6 linked regions of the Ovis aries genome follow. The protein of the gene in region 3 interacts with the protein of the main gene of each other region in a pairwise test. Links are inferred from orthologs where the notes say so. Each region holds a gene or a part of one and is shown on either strand. Other genes may lie near its edges. The genes, in order: QKI, RBM42, SNRPA, NDUFAF3, LENG8 and TRIR.

Evidence for each region.
Region 1: the proteins of SNRPA (region 3) and QKI interact in binary tests that used the Homo sapiens proteins (3 or more experiments, as listed by UniProt). The link is inferred for Ovis aries from reciprocal best matches to the Homo sapiens genes SNRPA and QKI.
Region 2: the proteins of SNRPA (region 3) and RBM42 interact in a two-hybrid assay, tested with the Homo sapiens proteins (2 studies listed by BioGRID and IntAct). The link is inferred for Ovis aries from reciprocal best matches to the Homo sapiens genes SNRPA and RBM42.
Region 4: the proteins of SNRPA (region 3) and NDUFAF3 interact in binary tests that used the Homo sapiens proteins (3 or more experiments, as listed by UniProt). The two-hybrid records come from large-scale screens. The link is inferred for Ovis aries from reciprocal best matches to the Homo sapiens genes SNRPA and NDUFAF3.
Region 5: the proteins of SNRPA (region 3) and LENG8 interact in binary tests that used the Homo sapiens proteins (3 or more experiments, as listed by UniProt). The two-hybrid records come from large-scale screens. The link is inferred for Ovis aries from reciprocal best matches to the Homo sapiens genes SNRPA and LENG8.
Region 6: the proteins of SNRPA (region 3) and TRIR interact in binary tests that used the Homo sapiens proteins (3 or more experiments, as listed by UniProt). The link is inferred for Ovis aries from reciprocal best matches to the Homo sapiens genes SNRPA and TRIR.

What each region holds. Positions count from the first base shown.
Region 1 is NC_056061.1:86,677,227-86,680,726, forward strand, and holds part of QKI (KH domain-containing RNA-binding protein QKI), read left to right. Parts: intron 1-2,874; coding exon 2,875-3,018; intron 3,019-3,500. UniProt on the Homo sapiens protein: RNA reader protein, which recognizes and binds specific RNAs, thereby regulating RNA metabolic processes, such as pre-mRNA splicing, circular RNA (circRNA) formation, mRNA export, mRNA stability and/or translation.
Region 2 is NC_056067.1:45,665,728-45,668,556, forward strand, and holds the end of RBM42 (RNA-binding protein 42), read left to right. Parts: intron 1-1,811; coding exon 1,812-2,006; intron 2,007-2,085; coding exon 2,086-2,198; 3' UTR 2,199-2,329; downstream 2,330-2,829. UniProt on the Homo sapiens protein: Binds (via the RRM domain) to the 3'-untranslated region (UTR) of CDKN1A mRNA.
Region 3 is NC_056067.1:49,429,449-49,433,736, forward strand, and holds the start of SNRPA (U1 small nuclear ribonucleoprotein A), read left to right. Parts: upstream 1-1,488; coding exon 1,489-1,561; intron 1,562-4,288. UniProt on the Homo sapiens protein: Component of the spliceosomal U1 snRNP, which is essential for recognition of the pre-mRNA 5' splice-site and the subsequent assembly of the spliceosome. U1 snRNP is the first snRNP to interact with pre-mRNA.
Region 4 is NC_056072.1:51,014,007-51,016,866, reverse strand, and holds NDUFAF3 (NADH dehydrogenase [ubiquinone] 1 alpha subcomplex assembly factor 3), read left to right. Parts: upstream 1-1,235; 5' UTR 1,236-1,260; coding exon 1,261-1,337; intron 1,338-1,415; coding exon 1,416-1,608; intron 1,609-1,766; coding exon 1,767-1,833; intron 1,834-1,926; coding exon 1,927-2,027; intron 2,028-2,105; coding exon 2,106-2,222; 3' UTR 2,223-2,360; downstream 2,361-2,860. UniProt on the Homo sapiens protein: Essential factor for the assembly of mitochondrial NADH:ubiquinone oxidoreductase complex (complex I).
Region 5 is NC_056067.1:63,813,778-63,817,277, forward strand, and holds the end of LENG8 (leukocyte receptor cluster member 8), read left to right. Parts: coding exon 1-68; intron 69-157; coding exon 158-226; intron 227-334; coding exon 335-464; intron 465-539; coding exon 540-1,408; 3' UTR 1,409-2,206; coding exon of another isoform or gene 2,207-2,369; 3' UTR 2,370-3,397; downstream 3,398-3,500. Other genes in the region: LENG9 (leukocyte receptor cluster member 9), read right to left, coding at 3,436-3,500.
Region 6 is NC_056058.1:11,080,600-11,084,806, forward strand, and holds the start of TRIR (telomerase RNA component interacting RNase), read left to right. Parts: upstream 1-1,407; 5' UTR 1,408-1,413; coding exon 1,414-1,767; intron 1,768-3,656; coding exon 3,657-3,734; intron 3,735-4,019; coding exon 4,020-4,127; 3' UTR 4,128-4,207. UniProt on the Homo sapiens protein: Exoribonuclease that is part of the telomerase RNA 3' end processing complex and which has the ability to cleave all four unpaired RNA nucleotides from the 5' end or 3' end with higher efficiency for purine bases.

The sequences.
Region 1 (3,500 bases), on a different chromosome or scaffold from region 3:
CGCCTGCCAATGCAGGAGCCATAGGAGATGCAGGTTCAATCTCTGGGTCAAGGAGGTCCCCTGGAGAAGGAAAGCAACCCACCCCAGTGATCTTGCCTGGAGAATCCCATGGACGGAGGAGCTGGGCGGGCTATAGTCGATGAAGTCACAAGAGAATTGGACACAACTGAGTGACTAAGCTCACACAGTGTGGATTTTACCTTGTTGGGTGGATATTTCATATTCCTATACCTGTTTTTGGACTTTGTTCTAGGACACAGTTAAATTGGAGACAGTTGGATCCTTTTAGGTCTTGCTTTGAGTATTTATTTAGGCACTGCTGGCACGGTACTGCTCAGACAGCTGACTGATTATTTTCCACTCCTGAGGCAAGACCTCTGTGTACTTGTCCCAGTGTCTTGTGTATCATAAAGTTTTCTACCTTGAATCCTTTGATTGGTTCTTTTTCTGGTCTCTGGTATTTCCTCCCACATATGTGCTGAGCAGTGTTCAGTTGAATACTTGTGCAGATCTCCACTCTCAAAGTGAAGTGAAAGTCGCTCAGTCGTGTCCAACTGTTTGTGACCCCATGGACTTTAGCCTGCCAGGCTCCTCTGTTTATGGTACTTTCCAGGCCCAGAATCCTGGAGTGGGTAGCCGTTCCCTTCTCCAGGGCATCTTCCCAACCCAGGGATCGAATCCAGGTCTCCCGCGTTGCAGGCAGACTCTTTACTGTCTGTGCCACTAGGGAGGCCCCCACTCTCTGTGCAGCTCCTTTTTCCAGTACTGGTTTAGGTGAGCTCTAGCTGCTGTGCCCTCCCGGGTCTCAGAGGTTAGTCTTCTCCACTCAGAGAGGCAGGCTGGCACCCTTCCCAGGGCTGCAGCCTCGAACTTCCCAGGCCAGGAAGCCTGGACAATCGTGGGACTTCCTGCCTTGGCTTCCCATCCTCAACCTCACTATCCTCCTGCTCTTGGGTTGTTTTTAGACATGAGAGTGAATCTTGTTGATGTTACTTTATCTTGGCCCAAAGCAGACATTCCTCATTTGTATGGATGTGGAGATACTTTTAGGTTCATTAAAACATAAACACACAGAACTTGATCACTTCTATAAAAACTTCTATGAAAAGTTGAAAAAATTGATCAGATATAAATTTCAGTGAGACGATATTGTCAGTGTTTTACAACATAAAAATTAAACTCTGGATTTTAAAATTGCTTTTTATTGTTACAGTAGAGGTATGTCTGCACACTTTGTATTTGGCACACGGATAGCCGCGAGGTGCCCAGTCCCTTGACTCACTAACTCCTTGAGTCTCTCAGTTTTTCATGGTGTCCCCTTGGCAAAAAGAAACGCTGGAGTTTTTCTTCCCATTTTTAAATGGTTACTTCCAAACAGCTTAGTTTAGCAAAACAACTTAAATTGAAATTTTTGTTTAAATTCTATTTGTAAACAACCACATTATTTATTATTGTATTTGTTTTCCTCTTGGATACTGTTCAGATTCTCAAACTGGACACTCCCACCCTCTTCCTGTTCCACACTGATTTTGCATGGGCATGGCTTTTTATTACAGCAACCACTAAAAACTTAGCATTGCAAAGACAAGACATCATCAAAAGGAATGTAGCATGGTCTAATATTGATAAAGACAAATATTGTAAACTCACAGGTTGCGTGGTGTCTGACAGACATCAACTCTTGCTATTCCCCTTGAAGCCCTGAGTACTCTCGGTGCTTGGTGAGCGAGCTGCACTGTCTCCTTGAATTCACTCCTTGGGGGCACACAGGGGGCCGACCACAGGCTGGTGTGCTTTGCTTGGTTTTCCATTTCCCCTCACAACACTTGGGTGCGTTTTCACACGCAACAATAGTAATAGAAAATAAAGAGAAGCATAAACTTTTAAGAACTCATTTTTATCCTTATTGTCTTGAGTTGCATATATTTCTTTTCCCTGGCATGGCCTCTGCAAACATGTGAGTTATGGTAGAAAACTGTTTGTTTTAATAAACAGTTTATTTTTCTTTGATTGGAAGAATTCAGTAAATAGTATTCCCAAGTCAGTAAATAGAATACTTAAAGATGAGACTTCAAAAAAGGTATTGTTCATTGTCTGTGTGTGGTACATTGCACTGAACCATATGCATTCATTTATACCATTTTGATATTCACGTTGTTATTGTTTTTAATTAATAAAGTTATATTTATGAAATACTTACAAATATATTTGTATATTATCTCTAAAGCTTAAGGCAAGAAGCAATTCTGAAATGATTATATTTTAGCTGAAAGGGAAATACGGCCAATCTTTCCTGTAGCTTGACAGTGTTTTCCACCTGGGGATCACTCGGTCATCTGAAGACACCGGGGAAATGAAATATAGATGTTCTCTGCTAAAACTAGTGTTTATGATGGTATAGTTAAAAGAGTGACTGTACAGCTCACTGTTTTTAAAGTAAGGTCTGATAGAACTACAGTTAAAAGTATCATCACATTTATTCCTTGTTATTATTTTATAATGAAATGGTTCCATAATCACTACTTGAAATGCTTAAAACAAATGGCATTTGTCTACACAGTAATGTCTGTTGGCAAAATACTTTTCCTGTTCTTAAATTCAGCCAGTGTTACTAAAAGCAGTTGCAACAAAATGGGAAAACCGCTGAATTTGAGAATGAAGATGTTGATTCAGTTCCTAAATTTGGCAAGTTACTAGCCACATGGCCTTGTCAGGTGAACTTGCCTAAATTTACCTCAGTGACCTTTCATTTACTCATAGCAAAACCATGCAAGCATAGCTTAATGATTGCAGCAGGTCATTATTATGGATGGAAAGATGTGCTGTCTCTTTGAAAAGAAAATTTTGTAATCGTGTGCTTTGTGAATTTTTTAGGAGGAGCAAAATCGAGGCAAGCCTAATTGGGAGCATCTCAATGAAGATTTACATGTACTGATCACTGTGGAAGATGCTCAAAACAGAGCAGAGATCAAACTGAAGAGAGCCGTTGAGGAAGTGAAGAAATTACTGGTACCTGCAGTAAGTAATAATTTCCAAATCTTAGATTTAGGCCCAAGATCTTTTTCAGTTAATTTTTAAATTATTACAATGTTTATGTTAATAAAGAATAGGTTATTATTTGTTCAGAATTTTATTTAAGCACAAAATATAAAAAAAATGTATAAGTCATTTGCTATAGAATAAGAGACAGACACTGCTACATTTCTTAAATGGGAAAGTCTGCTACCTGTTTATTTTTTTGTGAAGGAAATGTGAATGGAGCAAACCGAATCAGTGGCCTGTTTTTCAAAAGTGTGGCTGCCTTTGCATCACTCTGTTACAGGGTGAAAATGTAGGTCCATCATCAGGTAGGGCTGGTGAAAGCTTTGTCTCTCTTTTAGATCAGTTTCTCATTGCAAACAAGAAGCAAGTGTACACGAAGTCTGTACAAGTTAATACTTCTGTTGGGTGGTCTGTGTTAGTAGGAGTGCATTATTTGTGTTGCCTATGGATTCCGTGGG
Region 2 (2,829 bases), about 3.8 Mb from region 3:
TTTAAGTCTGAATTTGGTAATAAGGAGTTCATGATCTGAGCCACAGTCAGCTCCTGGTCTTGTTTTTGTTGACTGTATAGAGCTTCTTCATCTTTGGCTGCAAAGAATATAATCAAATATAATCAAAATTTCTCACAAAATTTTAAATTTTGCACAGTTAACTATATATCAACCACCTAGATTCAGCAATTAACATTTTGGTATCTTCACTGTAACCCTCCATGTTTATCATTTTTTGGTTTTTGCTCAATCATGTGAAGTAAATTATAAATGAGGTTATCACTTCACTCCTAAATACCTTAGTATTCATCTCCTAAGAAAAGTAATATTTTCTTTCATATCATTACATGGTTAACACATCTAAGACAATTAACAGTAACTGTGTTATCTCATATTCTGTTTATATTGTGATTTTCCCAGTTGTCTCCAAACTGTTTCCTTTTAGCTGTTTTTCCCCTAAACCAGGAGGCATGCAGTTTTGTGCCACTAGATTATCTTTTAAAGAGAATTGTCTCCCTCTCGCTGCTTTGTCTCACTTATAATAGTCTTTTGAAATGTTCAGATCAGTTGGTTTATGGACGGTCCTACCCTCTTAAGTTTGTCAGATTACTTCTGCCTGGGGTGACCTAACTTGTTCAAGAGTGCCCTCAGTCACCACCAAAGCTATGAGGCAACCACAGTGGTAGCTAAGGAAAGGAGCCTAAGTCCCACCCCACTCCTTTACAGCACTGGCCCAGAGGTGGCTAGGCGGTAGACCCTAATTCTGTGACCTTGGACACGTCACTCCGCCTTTCACGCCTTGTTTTCCAGCAAGGAGATAGTAATAGTATATACTCGTGGGGGAAGGGATTCTTTGAGCTTGAGCACATTTGGTCAAGACCAGGCTCAGCCCAGGAGGTTTATCCAAAAATGGCAGCTGAAGTTGACCTTGGAGAAGAATGAGGCAGTGTGTTCAGGTTTCAGGGACTCAAACGGGATCAGAGTGGGCTTTGCAGAGGAGGCAGAGCTGAGGATGAAGTCTGCGGTCCTGGGGTGCCATTATGGGAACCAGTGGGTGTCAGGGGCCCAGGGAGTGTCCATGGAGAGGTGTTCAGGAGGCCAAAGGATGCTGGGGGCTCAGAGGACAGGCCAGGGCTGTGATGACAAAGGTAGGGGCTTCATCACCGGAGTGGGTGAGGTGGCCCTGGGGTGGGGCAGGGCAGTGCCGTTAGTTGAAAGTGAAGGCTCTCGAGCCAGATAGATGCCTGAGTTCTTGTCCTAGCTCTGCTGCTTGCTGATTAACTTTGGGCAGGTGACTTGACCTCTCTGTGCCTTGGCGTATAGGGCTGTTGGGAATGCCAGGTATGTGAAAACTTTATGGATGCTTTGCAGAGAGTCTGCTGCTAAGTCACTTCAGTCGTGTCCAACTCTGTGCGACCCCATAGACGGCAGCCCACCAGGCTCCCCCGTCCCTGGGATTCTCCAGGCAAGAACACTGGAGTGGGTTACCATTTCCTTCTCCAGTGCATGAAAGTGAAAAGTGAAAGTGAAATCGCTCAGCGACCCCAGGGTCTGCAGCCTACCAGGCTCCTCCACCCATGGGATTTTCCAGGCAAGAGTACTGGAGTGGGGTGCTATTTCAGAGAGTCTAGCACAGGGTATATACTATCCAGGTGTTGGCTGTTATAACTAAGAGGACCTCAGGTCGAGACTGCTGGGATACAGAGGGAAGAGGGCTTGGGGGATGCTCCCAGAGAAGGTGGGATCATTTCAGTAAGACAGACCCTGGGCCACACATGTGTATCCTCTGATCTTCCCTCTCCCAACCCCAGATGACTTCCGGATCTTCTGTGGGGACCTGGGCAACGAAGTGAATGATGACATCTTGGCCCGAGCCTTCAGCCGCTTCCCATCCTTCCTTAAGGCTAAGGTGATCCGTGACAAGCGCACAGGCAAGACCAAGGGTTATGGCTTCGTCAGCTTTAAGGACCCCAGTGACTATGTGCGTGCCATGCGTGAGATGAATGGTGAGTGCGGTCTCCCTAGGGTCATTGGGCATGGCAGACATCTGGTCTGAGCCTGACCTTGAACCCTCTCTTCCCACAGGGAAGTATGTGGGCTCACGCCCCATCAAGCTGCGCAAGAGCATGTGGAAGGACCGGAACCTGGACGTGGTGCGCAAGAAGCAGAAGGAGAAGAAGAAATTGGGCCTGAGATAGGGTCTGTGGCCAGGCACCCGCTCCCATCCGGCCGGGCGCTGGTTCCTCCCCACAGTTCTTTGGAAAACCCTCAACTGTCTACCCAGCCATCCTCCCCAACACCAGTTTCAATAAATTTACGTTCATTTCCATCCTTGGCTAGGCTTGGAAGCACTCTTTGGAGAGCCGGGCTTAGCATCCCCCACTCTGGAGACAGTGGGGAGCCTTGAAAGTTTACATAAACATGCAGATGGGTGTTTTCAACGCTGCTACCTGCCCGTTAGATCTTCTTGAAACCTCTTTAAGTGTATACTGAGTGCAGCCCATTCCTCAGAGGAGGAAGTAGAGTCTTAGCGCAAGGTCAAAGCCAAGTGGAGGCTCACCCCAGTGGTCTTCTGATTCCACCCTGTGTTCTCAGCACCAAGGTAGTGGGTCCTCTGGGCCCTGCCCTTCTGGAGCTCAGAGCTTTCCAGGCTTTCATTCATTCATCCATTTTCATCAAGGACCTGGACAGTGTGTGGATACCGTGGTAACAGTGTTCCTAGCTAATGGTTCAGTGGCAGAGAGCCATTGCCAGACAATGAGAGTTAGCAGGGTTGGGATGGGGAACCATCCCGAGGAGTCCAAGGCGGCTTCCTGAAGGCACTGGCCA
Region 3 (4,288 bases):
ACAGTCTTAGAGCTGAACTCCTGATCTGGGAGCTGAAGTTGGGACTGCAAAAAAACAGGGCTAAAATCTGTAACCTTGGGAGCAGGGATTGAAGCTGACGCAAATCACAAAGAATCTGAGGGTTAAGGGGTCCTTTAATGTGCAAACAGATCTGTGGTACAGAGTTGGGATGCAGAGCTCAAAGAGAGAGGCTTAGTAGGAGTTAACTTCTTATCCTGGGCTCGTTTAGAAAGTTAGGAAATTATGGGACACGAAAGCCCAGGCCTGGGGCAAGGCACGTAAAGCGTGGGATTGAGGACCCCTGGGCTAAAAACTGGAAGAATTTAGAAGAGATCCTACCCCCTTCGCACCTCAGACCGGAGTTTGGAACCTTAGAGCTGACCTTTGAGTCAGAGGTCAAAAGGACACTTGGCAGGGAAATTAGCCTAGTTGTGGAGAAAGTCCTGAAATCGGGGCGCAACGGGAAGTCTTGTGGGCTGGAGAAGGCTCACAGGTTGGAGGTCGTTGGGAGCCCCCATACGGCTGGGGTAACAGGGCCGGGCACTAAAACGCGCCTACCCTTGCCGCAAAATGGCTGCCGCAGCGTACAGCCTTTCCCAAATCCCGCGGTAAGACTCGCAACTCAAGCCCGCCCCTTTAACGATCACGTGACAGAGACTGGCTGCGAAAGAAAGGCCTTGGAAGAGACTGCCGCAAGAACCGAGTCCCGATTGGCAAGAGGCGCGTGAGGGGGCGCGGCCTTCACTGATTGGTCCTTAGTCGCGTGCGCCGCAAAAGGGTTTGCAGGGGCTGGGCGGAGTTTTTCTGCTGAGGCGCGAACCCAATTGCCGTTTTTATTGGCAAAATCTGGGTCCGGGAGCTAGCCTTACTCTGATTGGCCAAGCTACCAAGTTTCTGCGCAGGGGTTGGCTTGTAGATAGACAAGGCGGGTCTAGAGGAGGAAGTTTTGTGGCCGGCGCTCAGCAGCGTAGCAGGCATCGCTTGCGGGAGCTGAGCCTGTTTCGGTGAGTATTCTTGGGCACAAACGGCCGTAGGCGCCTGGCGGCGGAGCGCTTGACGCCCGGGCTTTCCTGCGCCTCGTGTAGTGGGAACTATTTTTTTTCTGCTCGAGGCCAGGGTTCGGCAACGCCGTCCCGCTGGCCTTAACTGGCGCTTACAGCCGGGCCATTTCTCCTGGGCGGGTCTCTGAGCGCGTGGGCCAGTGGGAATCGCCACCTAGGCCGCTCCGCCTACTAAGTCGAGTAGAGCATCCTGGGACTCGTAGTAAACCTCACGAGATTTCCCTCACCACGCGGGGAGGAGAAGCTGTGTGCTGCGTTTGCTTTGTTTTCCGAGCCGTGCTTCCCTCTTTCCTCCTCTGTACCTTACTTGACTTTCTCTTGGAAGGAAGATCCTTTAGTAGCCCGCGTTGGGACAAAAGGATTTTCAGAAACCCAGGACTGAGTGGGACTTTTTCATTCTTTCAGCCCTACCTCAGCAACTTACTCCATGGCAGTTCCCGAGACCCGCCCCAACCACACTATTTATATCAACAATCTCAATGAGAAGATCAAGAAGGATGGTGAGTTTTCGGGATAGTCCGGACACCAGGCTATCCCGCACGAACCTGCTCCCTCTTCTGTCCCCAGCATCCATGTCTCTTCCTCAGCCTTCTCCAGCCAAACCTTTTAAGTTCGGCCTTTGCACAAGCAGTGCTTTTGATATTTCCTCATTTTCTCCTACACTTTTCCCGGTAATCTGGTAACTTGCTTGTCTTTCAAGGTTTCAGCTTCAAGACGCCCCTCCTCCAGGATGCCTCCCCCTTCCCTTTTCCACCCACGTGCTTGCCTCTGACTTCCTAAAACCCTGAACCTCCCCAGCCAAGTCCTGATCTGGCTGTCAGGGGACTGTCTCTCTCCTGGCCTTTGAGCTCCAGGAGGGTAAGAACTGCAACTGTTGGTCACTGTCATGGCCTCAAGTGAATAATCCACAGTGAAAACGTTTCATTTCAAAATAAAGTGAAATGAACCGTGATGGCGGGTAACACTGGGTACCAGGTGCTGATCTATAAATAATGGTTGCATTTAACTTTCACAGCAATCCTGCAGGAAGGACCTGTTGTTCCCATTTCTTAGATTAGAAACTGAGACTCCACAGGGATGTGATTCTCCCAAGGCATACAGCAGGGAAACGTGCTTGAGACCACTATATGGAATTCTGGTTAAGAACTCGATTCTAGATATGACATACTTTTCTTTTTTCTTGAGCAAGTTATCACTTTTTATTGAACTTCATGTTTTTATATATATAGGAAAGCTGGGCAAAATCTGTGCACAGATGTTATAGGGAATATATGAGCTAAACTTCCATGCCTTTTTTTTTATGGTGCCTAGCTGTTAGTAAGGGTTGGATATAAGTGTTAGCTCTTATTATCTCCTCAAGAAAACTGGTAGGAGAACTGAAGGAGCTTGCTGGCATTAAGTTGAGGTTACTGATAAAGTTGCTATTGAAGATAATAAACAAGCCATGTAAATCCCTCATATACTGTTAGAGCATTGTGCCCAGCCAGTTCTCTGTGGAGCTGTGGACACAGTGGTGACTGAGACAGTCCTGGTCCTGACTTCATGGAACCACAGTCTAGTAGAGATGACAGATCTGCTCCCAGACAGTGATAGCCCAGAGTAGCCATGGCCATAATTGGGGGAAGTTGAGGCATAGTAGTCAAGGCTGGGATTGGGCACTTGGAAAAGGGTATTCAGGTTCACAGAACAGGAGACATTTTGGGAAAGCCTACCAGGGAGAGGAAGCAGCATCTGTGTTACAATGAGGGAGAAGAGTGACTAACCTGGACCAGCATGTGCAAATATCCAGGGGCAAAAGAGAGTCTAGGGCATTCTGGGAACCACATGTACTGCAGTTTTGGGTGCCTGAGACTTAGAGGCTGGTGATTTCATGGAGAACATTCAGGCAAGCAGTGCACTCTGGCTCCTGATGCCTTGAGGTCTGGGTGGGTGTTTTACTTCATCCTGAGGGCTTTGGGGAGCCAGGCAAGGGATGCAGTTAATTGTGAAAGATCTTTCCAGCTGTGGAGGGTGAACTTGTGTGGGCAAGAAAGGAGACTGGGCAGAGGCTCAGCACCCAGGGGAATGACTCGGGCCCGCACTGGGTTCACGGGGATGGCAAGTGGAGACAAATCTCAGAATTGTCATCAGAATTTCTGGCCGTTTGCTTCCCTCTTTACCCGACCCCCCTTTTCTTTCCTGCTGTCTCTTCGGCCAGGTGTCTTAAGCTCAGGTACCTTCTTTGCATAAGACGGGTACCCTTTCCTGGCTGTCCATTTGCTAGGGAGGTTTGGTGGTCCTGGGTTCAGATGGACTTGGGTCCTCGGTCAGTGACAGATCCTCTGAGAGCCTCTATCCACATTAGTAAAATTGGGGCAGTTATAATTGCTCACTCATGGAGTAGAGGTAAAAATTCAGTGAAGTTATTCCCAGAAATCATTTAATGATGTGTTTATTCAGGCAGATGTATTTGGAGATTTGTGTGCTGGCAACTATACTGTTCATTAGGGGTTTTTTTTTTTTTTTGGCTCACACCAAGGGACTTATGGAGAAGGCAATGACACTCCACTCCAGTACTCTTGCCTGGAAAATCCCATGGACGGAGGAGCCTGGTAGGCTGCAGCCCATGGGGTCGCTAAGAGTCAGGACACGACTGAGCGACTTCACTTTCACTTTTCACTTTCCTGCATTGGAGAAGGAAATGGCAACCTGCTCCAGTTCTTGCCTGGAGAATCCCAGGGACGGGGGAGCCTGGGGGCCTGCCGTCTCTAGGGTCACACAGAGTCCGACACGACTGAAGTGACTTAGCAAGGGGCTTATGGGATTTTAGTTCCCTGACCAGGGATTGAACCTGGACCCTTGTCAATAAGAGCACAGAGTTCTAACCACTGGACCACTAGGGAGTTCCCTGTGGGGATATTGTGATAAACAAATAGGATAGACTTGTACCTCTTCAGAAAGAGGACCAAACAAAAAGGAAACAAACATGATGTCAGGAGGTGGGAAGTGCCATGAAAGAAAAGCAAGTAGGTTCTCACGGTGAGAGGAGTGACATGAGGGGTCTCTCACCATGGTGGTCAGGGAAGGCCTCAGGTGGTAACATCTCTGCTGAGTCCTGGGTGACTGGAAGGAGGCAGCCATGTACACATCAGGAGAAAGTTGCTCCTAGTAGAGGGAGCAGTCAGTGGAAAGGTCCTGAGGCAAGGTTGCTGTGACGAGCCTGAGAAAGGGCTGGGAGGCCAGTGTTG
Region 4 (2,860 bases), on a different chromosome or scaffold from region 3:
GCCGCTCACCTAGGCCCCCAAACAACAGGTGTGGTGGGGGGCCTTCCCTCGGACCAGGTCTCGATTCGGATTAGATCCGCAGGGTACAGTTAGCCATGTTGGTCCCATGCCGTCAGGGCCCACTGTAGTGACGGCGGTGGGTCGGGCGTCGGGATCAGGCCAAGAGGGAAGCGCGCCCGTGGGGTCGGAGAGGAAGTAAACCCTCCTCGGGGACTCCCCCGCACCCAGGGCCCTTTGTCCGGTGACGCTGCCAGTACCCGGAGCGCTAGACGCCCAGTGGGCCCGAACTGCAGCGCCAGGAATCCCGGAAACCCACTGCGACCGTCCTCGGTTGTGCCGAGCCTCCCGCCTGCCCGGCCCTGCGGGTAGGAGATGCGGCAACGTGCCCCTAAGGCCAAAACACTGTGGTCGCGCGGAGATGCTGGAACCTGCGCGGGTGCCAGCGATTCTCACGCCAGTAGGCCTTCTGATTCGGCTCAAAACGCAGGTCACGGGATTCTCGGAGCGCGAGCGAAGTGCGCGACAACAGGGCGAGGCTCCAGCCGCTGTCTACTTCACCATCCGGTCCGGTCTGGCCCGGTAGTCGCAACGACCAGCTTGAAGTTCCCCACCAACGCGTCCCCTTCCGCTTGCTCCGGCTGCAGCGTTGGAGCCATTTTAAGGCGAAACCCCCAGCCACACCCCCTCGGGCTCCGGAGAGGCCAATCCAGGCGCAGCCACGCCCCGTGCGACTCGCGGCCGCGACGCCAACGGTCGCGCGGGTGACGGTTAGGGAGGGGCGGGACTCGGGGGGCGAGCGACGGAAACCTGAGCTGCCCGCCCCGCCCTCGGAACCCGAAGCTCTAAAGCCGGGATTAGAGGCTGGGGGGTTGTGGGCGGGCGCCACGCCCAGGCCAGGTGTGCGCGACTCCAACAGGTGCTCGGCCGCCCTCCCCCGGCCCTGGGAGCCCAGCGTAATGGCTGAGAGCTGGGGGCCAGGCAGTGCCCTGCGGCCGGCCGCGCCTCCAGGTGTCCGGCTCTCCCAGGGCGGCCTGCGGGCGCCCGGGGCGGGGAGGATGGCAGGTGCTGACACCGGAGCCGCGCTGGGGGACGCGGCCCCCTGGGACGGAGGCCCCTGGCCCGCTCCCTCCCTTCTCCCGCGCTGGGCCGGCCGAGCCGCGCGGTGTCCTCCGCGACGCTGGGGGCGCTAGAGCCGCGCTGGGCTGGGGGACGCCGCGACCCCGTTGACCCTGCGCCAGCCTCCCTGCGCGCCGGTCCGCCATGGCCGCAGCGTTTGTGCTTCGGAACCTGTACCGCGCGCGACCTGCGCTTCGCTGTCCGCCCGCGGAGCTGCCATGGTGAGCCCGGACGCGGTGTCCCTGACCATCCGCCCCACGGCCGGCCATTCCCGGCCCCCTGACAGTACCTTTCTGCAGGGCCCCGCGGCGGGGACATCGGCTCACGCCGGCGGATGACGAGCTGTATCAACGGACGCGTATCTCACTACTGCAGCGCGAGTCCCCCCTCGCCATGTACATCGACAGCTACAGCAGCCGCGGCTTCGTGGTCAACGGGAATCGCGTGTTTGGACCCTGCGCGCTCCTCCCACAGTCGGTGGTGCAGTGGAACGTGAGCGCCTCCCTACAGTGAGGAAACCGAGAGCCGGAGTCACGGGCCTGCCTGTCCCTAGCAAACCTGGCATTTCTTTCATCCCACTCTGGAGCAGGTAGAGGGTTTCTGGGAACACCTACGTGGGCTTACATTTATCTTGCCCTCTCCCCACACAGGTAGGTTCCTACCAGGACATCACCGAGGAAAGCTTCTCTCTCTTTTGGATGCTGGAGCCCAGGATAGGTATTGATGGAGGGGAGGGCTGAAGTGCTGAGCCCAGAAAGGCACCCTCTCGACCGAGCTGCTTGTAGACTAGCCGAGCCTATCCTTTCCTAGAGATTGTTGTGGTGGGCACCGGAGACCGGACTGAGCGGCTGCAGCCCCACGTGCTGCGAGCCATGAGGCAGAGGGGCATCGCGGTGGAGGTGCAGGACACAGTACGTCCGGGACTGGGGGACTTGGAGGGGAGCCCAGGCCGAGCCCTGGGCCAGCTGACGCTAGCTTTCTCATTGCAGCCCAATGCCTGTGCCACTTTCAACTTCCTCTGTCATGAAGGCCGAGTGACAGGAGCTGCTCTCATTCCCCCACCTGGAGGGGCTGCACTCACATCTCAGGCCCAGTCTGCAGAATGAACCACCGAAACTTAACCTGACTTGTCCAGGAGGGCCTTGTCACCTTCTGCAGAATGCAGCGGTGCCCTGAGCTTTCACTAGCCCCTCCCCTTTCGCACTGTAAGATTTGTTTTGCTTACCAGCAAATTACTAATTTAAGCCCCTTGTCTGATTTTCTACTAGCTGTGTTGCTGGCCAGGAGCTGTTGTCTCAATGGGTTCTTGGAGGGGTTTGTGAAGGAACCAGAGGGTCATGGCTTGGCCTCTGAGAGGCCAGGGGGCAATATAGGCACCTGTTCTAAACTGTAGGTCTGTCTACTTGCTCACATACAGATTTGAGGGGACCTCTGTGCTTCCTCCAAATACGTGAAAAGTTAAAGTAGTCACTTGGTTGTGTCCAACTCTTTGTGACCCCATGGACTGCAGCCCACCAGGCTCCTCTGTCCATGGAATTCTCCAGGCAAGAATACTGGAGCGGGTTGTCATTTCCTTCTCCAGGGGATCTTCCCCACCCAGGGATAGAAACTGCATCTTCCACATTGCAGGCAGACTCTTTACCAACTAAGCCATCAGGGAAGGTTCAGAGTATGTGGGTCTAAACCTGGTCCCATGTGGCCGAACTTTGGGCTAGCAGGAGGTCCTGTGGATGCCAGTCCAAAA
Region 5 (3,500 bases), about 14 Mb from region 3:
ACTGGAAGGAGAAGCAGGACTACGCCTTCGCCTGCGAGCAGATGAAGTCCATCCGGCAGGACCTCACGGTGAGGCGGGCGCCAGCGAGGGGCCGGGGCCGGGGCAGGGCCGATCGGGGAGGCCGGCTCTGCTGTGACAGCCGCTGTCCTCCCACCAGGTGCAGGGTGTGCGCACCGAGTTCACAGTGGAGGTGTACGAGACGCACGCGCGCATCGCCTTGGAGAAGGTGAGGGCAGGCAGGGCCCCGCCCCACCCCACCCCACCCCAGGCTTTCAGCCGTCCCCCCACCCAGCCGTGTGGGCCTCACTCTGCCCCCTCACGCTCTGCCCTCCAGGGGGACCATGAAGAGTTCAACCAGTGCCAGACGCAGCTCAAGTCGCTGTACGCCGAGAACCTGCCGGGCAACGTGGGCGAGTTCACCGCCTACCGTATCCTCTATTACATCTTCACCAAGAACTCGGGAGGTGAGGTGCAGGACCGCGGCCCTGGGCCCCTGACGCGGCCCCCCGAGCCCCCTGACCCCGAGTCTCTGGCCGCAGACATCACCACAGAGCTGGCGTACCTGACTCGGGAGCTGAAGGCGGACCCTTGCGTGGCCCACGCCCTGGCGCTCAGGGCCGCCTGGGCTCTGGGCAACTACCACCGCTTCTTCCGGCTCTACTCTCACGCTCCCTGCATGTCTGGCTACCTCGTGGACAAGTTTGCAGACCGGGAGCGCAAGGCTGCGCTCAAGGCAATGATCAAAACGTATGTAAAGCTGAGCTCCACCCCGCCCAGGCCGCGGGCCGCCCTGTCTCCTCCCCCTACCTGTGCGCTCGTCCTCATCTGGACCCGCCCTTCTCTGCACAGCCCCCCGCCCCTCCCCTCTCTCCTGCTGCTCTCTGCTCGTGGCAGCCTGGAACCCCCCCCTCCCACATCATCCCCTTGTCCAGGCCCCCTTCATCCAAAGCCTCCCGCTTCCCCGACCCTCGAGGCCGAACCACGCCCAGAGGCTGAGCGCCCCCGTGGGGCAGCCCGCAGAGCCGGCCCCGCCCTCAGCAGCTGTGGGCTCAGCGACCGGGCCTTGCGCCCTCGTGAGGGCTCAGATGAGTTTAGGGCCGTGCAGGCAAGCGAGGCCGACAGCCCCCAAAGAGGGTGCCCTCTGCCCCGGGCAACGGTGTGTTCGCATCTGTTAGGAGGGAGGCGCGCCAGGTGGGCTAAGGACACCCCTTTTGTCACGGCCGGAGTCGTCCCGGCTTCTAGGGCCAGAGGCTGGGGATGTGCTGAGCGTCCCACGGTGCCCGGGTCGCCTCCGCCGGGGCCACCTCCTGAGGTGACAGGCTGCCGAGCACTGCTCAGAGGTCCCAGGGGCCTTGGGAGCCACGGGGCGCGGTCTGGGTGGGGGTGGACACCCACCCAGGAGGGTTAGGAGGCTCCTTGTGGGCTCCAGTGTGGGGTGAGAACGTTTAAGGGTGAGGTAGAGGGCAGGGCTGTGGAAAGACAGGCAGTGAGGCGGGCTCAGCAGACAGGGCAGGGCGCGGGCTGCTTCCTGCCCAGAGCGCCGAGGGGCCTGTGTCTGAAGGGGCCCGCGTCTTCAGCAGAAACTGCCCCCTGTCCCAGGGCCAGTCCCACAGACGGCCAGGGTTCGAGGCAAGAGGGGTCCCGTGTCCCCCACTAGTGTGAGCTCAGTGGCTGTGCCCCTGGAGCCCTGCTCCTGGGTGCGTACAGCTGGGTGGGCCCGCTGCTGGGAGGGCGCACGCACAGAGCTGCTGGCCGGCACCGGCCCACCTCCTCTTAGCTGGGTGCTCAGCCTCCTCTGACCAGGGCGAGGCAAGCAGGAGGGGTGGTCCCCAGATAGGATCAGCCCCCTCCAGCCCCCGCCCCTTGCATCGATCCCCGGCCCCCCCGGCCTCGGTGGGCCCTCTTGTGAGGGTCTGCGCAGGCACCCAGCCAGCAGAGGAGCCAGCTGGCCCTTCCCTCCCATCCCCTCCTCCTGTCCCCTGCTCAGGTAAGTGAGGGCGAAGGGGGGCGCAGCCGGGGCCGGGGTCCGACCCCACCCCGGGCCCCCCTGAGCCGCTGAGGTGGGGAGGCTGCGGGTGGGAGCGGGGCTGGCAGCTAATGCGCTGAGGAAGCCTCTCGGGCGCCCGAACGGGGGCGCCCCCTCCCTGCCCGTGGGGCCTTCCCGCGTCTACCGCCGCCTCATCACCTTCTCCTCTTGTCTCCGTAGCTTCCGCCCAGCGCTGCCCGTCTCCTACCTGCAGGCCGAGCTGGCCTTCGAGGGCGAGGCCGCCTGCCGGGCCTTCTTGGAGCCCCTGGGCCTGGCCTACACGGGCCCGGACAACTCCAGCATCGACTGCCGCCTCAGCCTGGCGCAGCTGCCGGCCTTCTGAGCACCAGCGCCGCGGGGGCGGGGGGCTGGGCTGCAGATCTTGTCTTTGAGCCATGGACTTGGGGTGTAAATTAATTCGTGGGGAGAGGGCTCCAGGAAGAGCCCTCGTCCCTGCCCCCGTTTTCCCACCGGGGAGTCTGTACAGAGATTTTTCTACGTTTTTATTTTTGGCCTGAGAGGGTCGGGCTGGGGAAGAGGGGGACGGGCAGCGTAGGGCCGGGGGCGCGGTCTATAGGCTGGTCTGTCTGTCTGGCCCTCCACTAATGCTGTCTCAGTGTTTTTTCTCTCTCTCTCTCGAGCTCGTACTCCGGTACCGACCCAGCACCCTGGCCCGTCCCATGCCGGGGGGCAGGGCAAGAAGACAGGCCGCTCCGCCCGCGCCCGCCCACGGCGGGGGCACGCCCACCGCCCGCCTCCCGCCTGCTGCTCCACAGACTCTTGTTGCCAGCCCTCCGGGGCCTCAGTGTTTGGGGCGAGGGGAGCCGCCTAGAGACTGTGCCCTGCCCTCGGCCCCCGAGCCCAGAAGCCGCCGCCGCCGCCACCCGCCACACCACCGCCACACTGAGGATTCCGGAGGCCGCCGCGGGACCTCGCCGGCCGGGCCGCCTCGTCTGCAGTTGTATTGAGTTGTCTCCGTGTCCCCCTCCCCCGTGTCTCCCCTGCCCCGTCCTCCCCCTCCTCGCATTCTTCCCTCGGTTCAGCACAGGTAAAGCGGTTACCCTCCCTCCCCGCCTCATGGATCACCAGCTCACGTCATGTTTCCTTCTCTTTTCTTTGTGTGTGTGTTTATTTAAGTTATTTTTCTTCCTCCCCTTTTCTTTTCCGTCTCCCGCCCTCTTCTGCCATGTAACTGGAGGGTGCGCTGAGTTGCAAACAGCTGGACTGTCAGGCTGCTTCTCTTCAGATGTCCTCCTCTGCCTCCCCGCTCCCCCTTCTCCCCTCCCCTTTCCTTCCTTCATTCTTTCCTTGGAGCACTGAGCACCACTTGGAAGCTTGAGAGAAACCAAAATTAAAGAGAGAGAGAGAGAAGCCGCGTGCGCGCTTTGTCCTTGTCTGGGGCCCGGTCCTTATTTTAGAGGTTGACCTCCCAGGGGGAGCTCGGCCACCGCCTGGTAGGTGGCCCCGGCCCTGC
Region 6 (4,207 bases), on a different chromosome or scaffold from region 3:
CACTCCTCTCATTGGCTACATCTTTTCTTACTTTCACCAATCACTCTCACGTCCCGGTAGCACCAACCTTCCCTTAGCAACCGACCAAACACCCATTCCATACCCTTTTCAAGAAGTTAGTTCCGAGGTCCACCCTGACCTGACTCCATAGGCTCAACTTCTTGTCGATCATTTCCCGCCCCTATTCTCCGAACTAGGTCCCAGCACCCCTCAGGTCCGTCTCTTCTGTTATTCAATTGGCTGGGAGCCATCGGGCTCCTGACGCAAACCAATCACAGACGAACCGATTAGTTTGCTGGAGACAGTTTCGGCGCTGCGAGTGGGTTAGAGAGAGAATTACTCCAGTTGGGGGCGAGGTCCGCAGATCCTTGTCCAGTGAGCCCTGAGCTCCTTTGCGGGCTTGCATCCTTGTTGTAGAAGGCACCCGATTCCCCAAAACCTGCTTCCACTTTACCCCAGGTTCGAAGGGAAACTTCAGTTCAGCCAATTCTGTTTGAAACTCTGCCCTGGGCAGGAATACATGCTTGGTCGCAGGCCCTTTTGAGGACACTATACCTTAGTTGGAGGCTCCAACCTAGAACTATCCGTGGCTTCATTTCGGTACTCTAGCACATAAAGAACTTCACAATCACTTTTCACTTTCATGCATTGGAGAAGGAAATGGCAACCCACTCCAGTGTTCTTGCGTGGAGAATCTCAGGGATGGGGGAGACTGGTGGGCTTCCGTCTATGCGGTCGCACAGAGTCGGACACAACTGAAGCGACTTAGCAGCAGCAGCACATAAAGTAATACCTTGATTTGCAGATATGAACCTCTCAGCTCCTTGGAGTGAGCTGTGTCTCTATTTCCAAATGAAAGCTCCATCCCAGAGATAGGTACCTAATCCAGAGACACCCCCATTTCTGTTCTCGGGGACCAGGCTAGATATGCCCTCTGGCTAGTTTTAGTTAGGGACCCAGGTTCCGAGGTTATCAGCTGAGCACACAGCCAAGCAACGTCTCTCCCCTCACTGAGATTATCCCTGGTGTCAGAAGGAGATTCTAGCCCCGAAAAGCTAGTACACCACCGAGTCCCACGCGGGAACCGCACTCCGAGAGCCAGCTACACACTCAGAACCAAACAATAGTCTCATTCCGGAAGAGACCATCTTTGCGTAACGCCAGCAGGAGCCTAGCAGGGTTATGATGTTCCGCCGGACCCGGCAGGGCGGGCCGGGGCAGCTGGTTGAGGGCGCGCAGCGTCAGGCCTTATTCCTCATTCGCCCCGCCCCTCATGCCCCGCCCCCACTGCGGTCGTCTAAGCACCAGACTGGTCTTCCCGGCATGCATTGCCCGGGACCAGGCTTCTCGGGCGCCAAGCGCGGGGCCGGGAGCGGCCTTCCCGGAGTCCTTTGCGCGGCACCTGGTGACAAAATGGCTGCCCGAGGGAGACGGGCGGAGCCTCCTGGTCGGGAGGCGCCGGGCCCTGCGGGTGGCGGCGGCGGCGGCGGAAGCCGATGGGCTGAGTCCGGGCCCGGGACGTCGCCCGAGAGCGGCGATGATGAAGTGTCGGGCGCGGGTTCGAGCCCAGTGTCGGGCGGCGTGAACTTGTTCGCCAACGACGGCAGCTTCCTGGAGCTGTTCAAGCGGAAGATGGAGGAGGAGCAGCGGCAGCGGCAGGAGGAGCCGCCCCCGGGCCCGCAGCGACCCGATCAGCCAGCCACCGCTGCCGCCGCGGGTCCCGGGGATCCGAAGAGGAAGGGCGGTCCGGGCCCCACGCTCAGCTTCGTAAGGAGCCGCGGGGGTGGGGGCGGGCGCCAGGGTCTTCCTTGGCCTGGGGAATCGGGACCGAGAAAGGGGATCGGGATCCACGTCCACCCTCCGATTCCGATCAGGGGGCCGTCTGGGTCATCCGCTGAGGATTCAGAACCTGGATTCCCTACAAGAGAGGTCTGGGGGCGGAGATGGGGACCCCAGGAGTCTGCCCGCAGGAACTGGGAGCTGGGGGGGGGATTCCATTGGAAACAGCGTTCCGAGGATCGGGAGACCAGGGTACTAGAATTCCTGTTTGAGTGGTACCCACCCGAACTTTGGATTTGGGGACCATCTCCCACTATGAGAATGGGTGTCATATTCAAGTCTGGAGTCTGAGCTGTGTGAATGAAAGACTCAGACTGCTTACTGTGTGACCTAGGAGATTTGCTTGAGTTCCATGATTTTCCTTCGTCCGGTGTCCATTTATTGAGCACCTTACCTTGTGCTGGGCACTGTGCTAGGTGATGGATATGCTGTGCTGAACATGACAGGCATCACTGCTCTCCCGGAGCATCTGAGATGGCCTAACCTCATTTTCCCTGCTTGCAAAAATGGGCATCTTCTTATGTGATTACCATTGGGCAAGCCTTATAGGAAGGGCTAAACCAATGGTTCTCAACTGGGGATGATTTCCACCTACCCCATCTCCACACTTGACGAAGTCTGGGGACATCTGTGGTCATCAGGACGGACATTCATGAGCAGAGGGCAGAGCTGCTGCTCAACATCCAGAAACAGAACAATTCTCTCCTCCCCCTCTCCAGCAAACATGATCCTGTTCAAAATGTCATTAGTGCCTAAGATTGAGAAACTCTAGGCTAAAAAAAGGGCACCTATATTGATTGTCAACCCTGAGCTGGCTTTGTCTCGTGTTGAGAGCAAGTTCCTGTGGTGTGGAGAAAAAAAGTGTTGACTTAAGAGTAATGGACTTGGGTGGGGGTGCGTCAAGTTTCTTCATCTGTCAAAAAAGCGTGAGAATAGTCTCAGCAGCTCAGGTCACTTAACACCTGGTTGAGGGCTAGGGACAGGATGTCTGTAAAGCCTGTCACAGCCCTTGGTGCACAAGAAGCCCTCAGTTCGTGGGAGAAAATAGAGGACCGGGAAAGTTCAGGCTAAATCTTACATTTGAAGAATGGGAAGTGACCGGGCCTGGGCTGGTGTGAGAACTGGGTGGCAGCCGAGTGCCCCCCTGTGAATGAGAGTAGCAGTAGTTGTCACTGCCTTTTCCGTTTGGTCATCGGGGCGGGGGGGGTGCATTTGCGGGAGTGCCCTCAAAGAGGCCAGGCCAGGTTAGGTGTCAGGGAACAGCATCAGGCGGTGGCTAAGATTGCTGCTCCCTGGACTCAACATACCTGACCCTGAATCTAGCTCCACTGTCTGCTGTCAGCATGATCCAGGGGACAGGCTTCTCCTTTTCAAAGGTGTTTCCTCATCTGTCCAATGGGGACGGTTATGACCTTCATCTTAAGGTAACTGAAAGTTGAAGGAGATGATACGTCCAAAGCCACTTGGCACAGGGCTTAGTATACAGTAAGTGCTCAATAAAGGGAGCAGTTGCTGCCTGTGTGGTCTGTACTAGGGGATAGTGAGGACAGAGCTCATCCCCCTCATGTGGGGATTCTTCTCTCTCCCTGGGAAGACAGCTGGGGGGCCCAGGACTGCTTGGGCATCATGGGCCCAGGGCAGGTGCTGAGTCGCGTGTGCTCCTCTCTGATTGCTGCGCAGGTCGGCCGGCTGGTGGAGCTGGGCGCGGCGTCGGGACGGGCCACCGGGCCGGGCTAGGAAGGTGTAGTGGGCCTCAGCACCGCCAAGGGCGGGCCCCGGCTCCTGTAACCGTTGCAGTCTTCTGTCCCTTCACCCAGGTGGGCAAGCGCAGAGGCGGGAACAAACTAGCCCTCAAGACGGGAATAGTAGCCAAGAAGCAGAAGACGGAGGATGAGGTGAGCAGACCGGTTGTGGCAGGGACTGCCTCTGTTGCCTTTTCCTTCTAGCCTCAGCGCCTGGCCGAGGTGCCCCATCCCTCCCTTTTCAGTATCTGGCCCTTGGATGGATGTACTGGGTGGGGGAGGAGGGCTTTCAACCCAGCTCCTAGATAACTTGCCTCTGCTTATCTTTGTCTCAGACCCAATACGCTGTGGGTGGGTCAGCTGTCTCAGGACAGTCCTGACCCTGGTTCCTGGCATCCCCTTCCCAACCCCCTGTGTATCCCTCCTCCCCCCCAACAGGTATTAACAAGTAAAGGTGATGCATGGGCCAAGTACATGGCAGAGGTGAAAAAGTACAAAGCCCACCAGTGCGGTGATGATGATAAAACGCGGCCCCTGGTGAAATGACCCCCCTCCCTGCCTGCCCACGGCCTGGGACTCTCTGCGATGTACATAACTATTTAATGCAGTGGCAGCGCGGCAGCCTT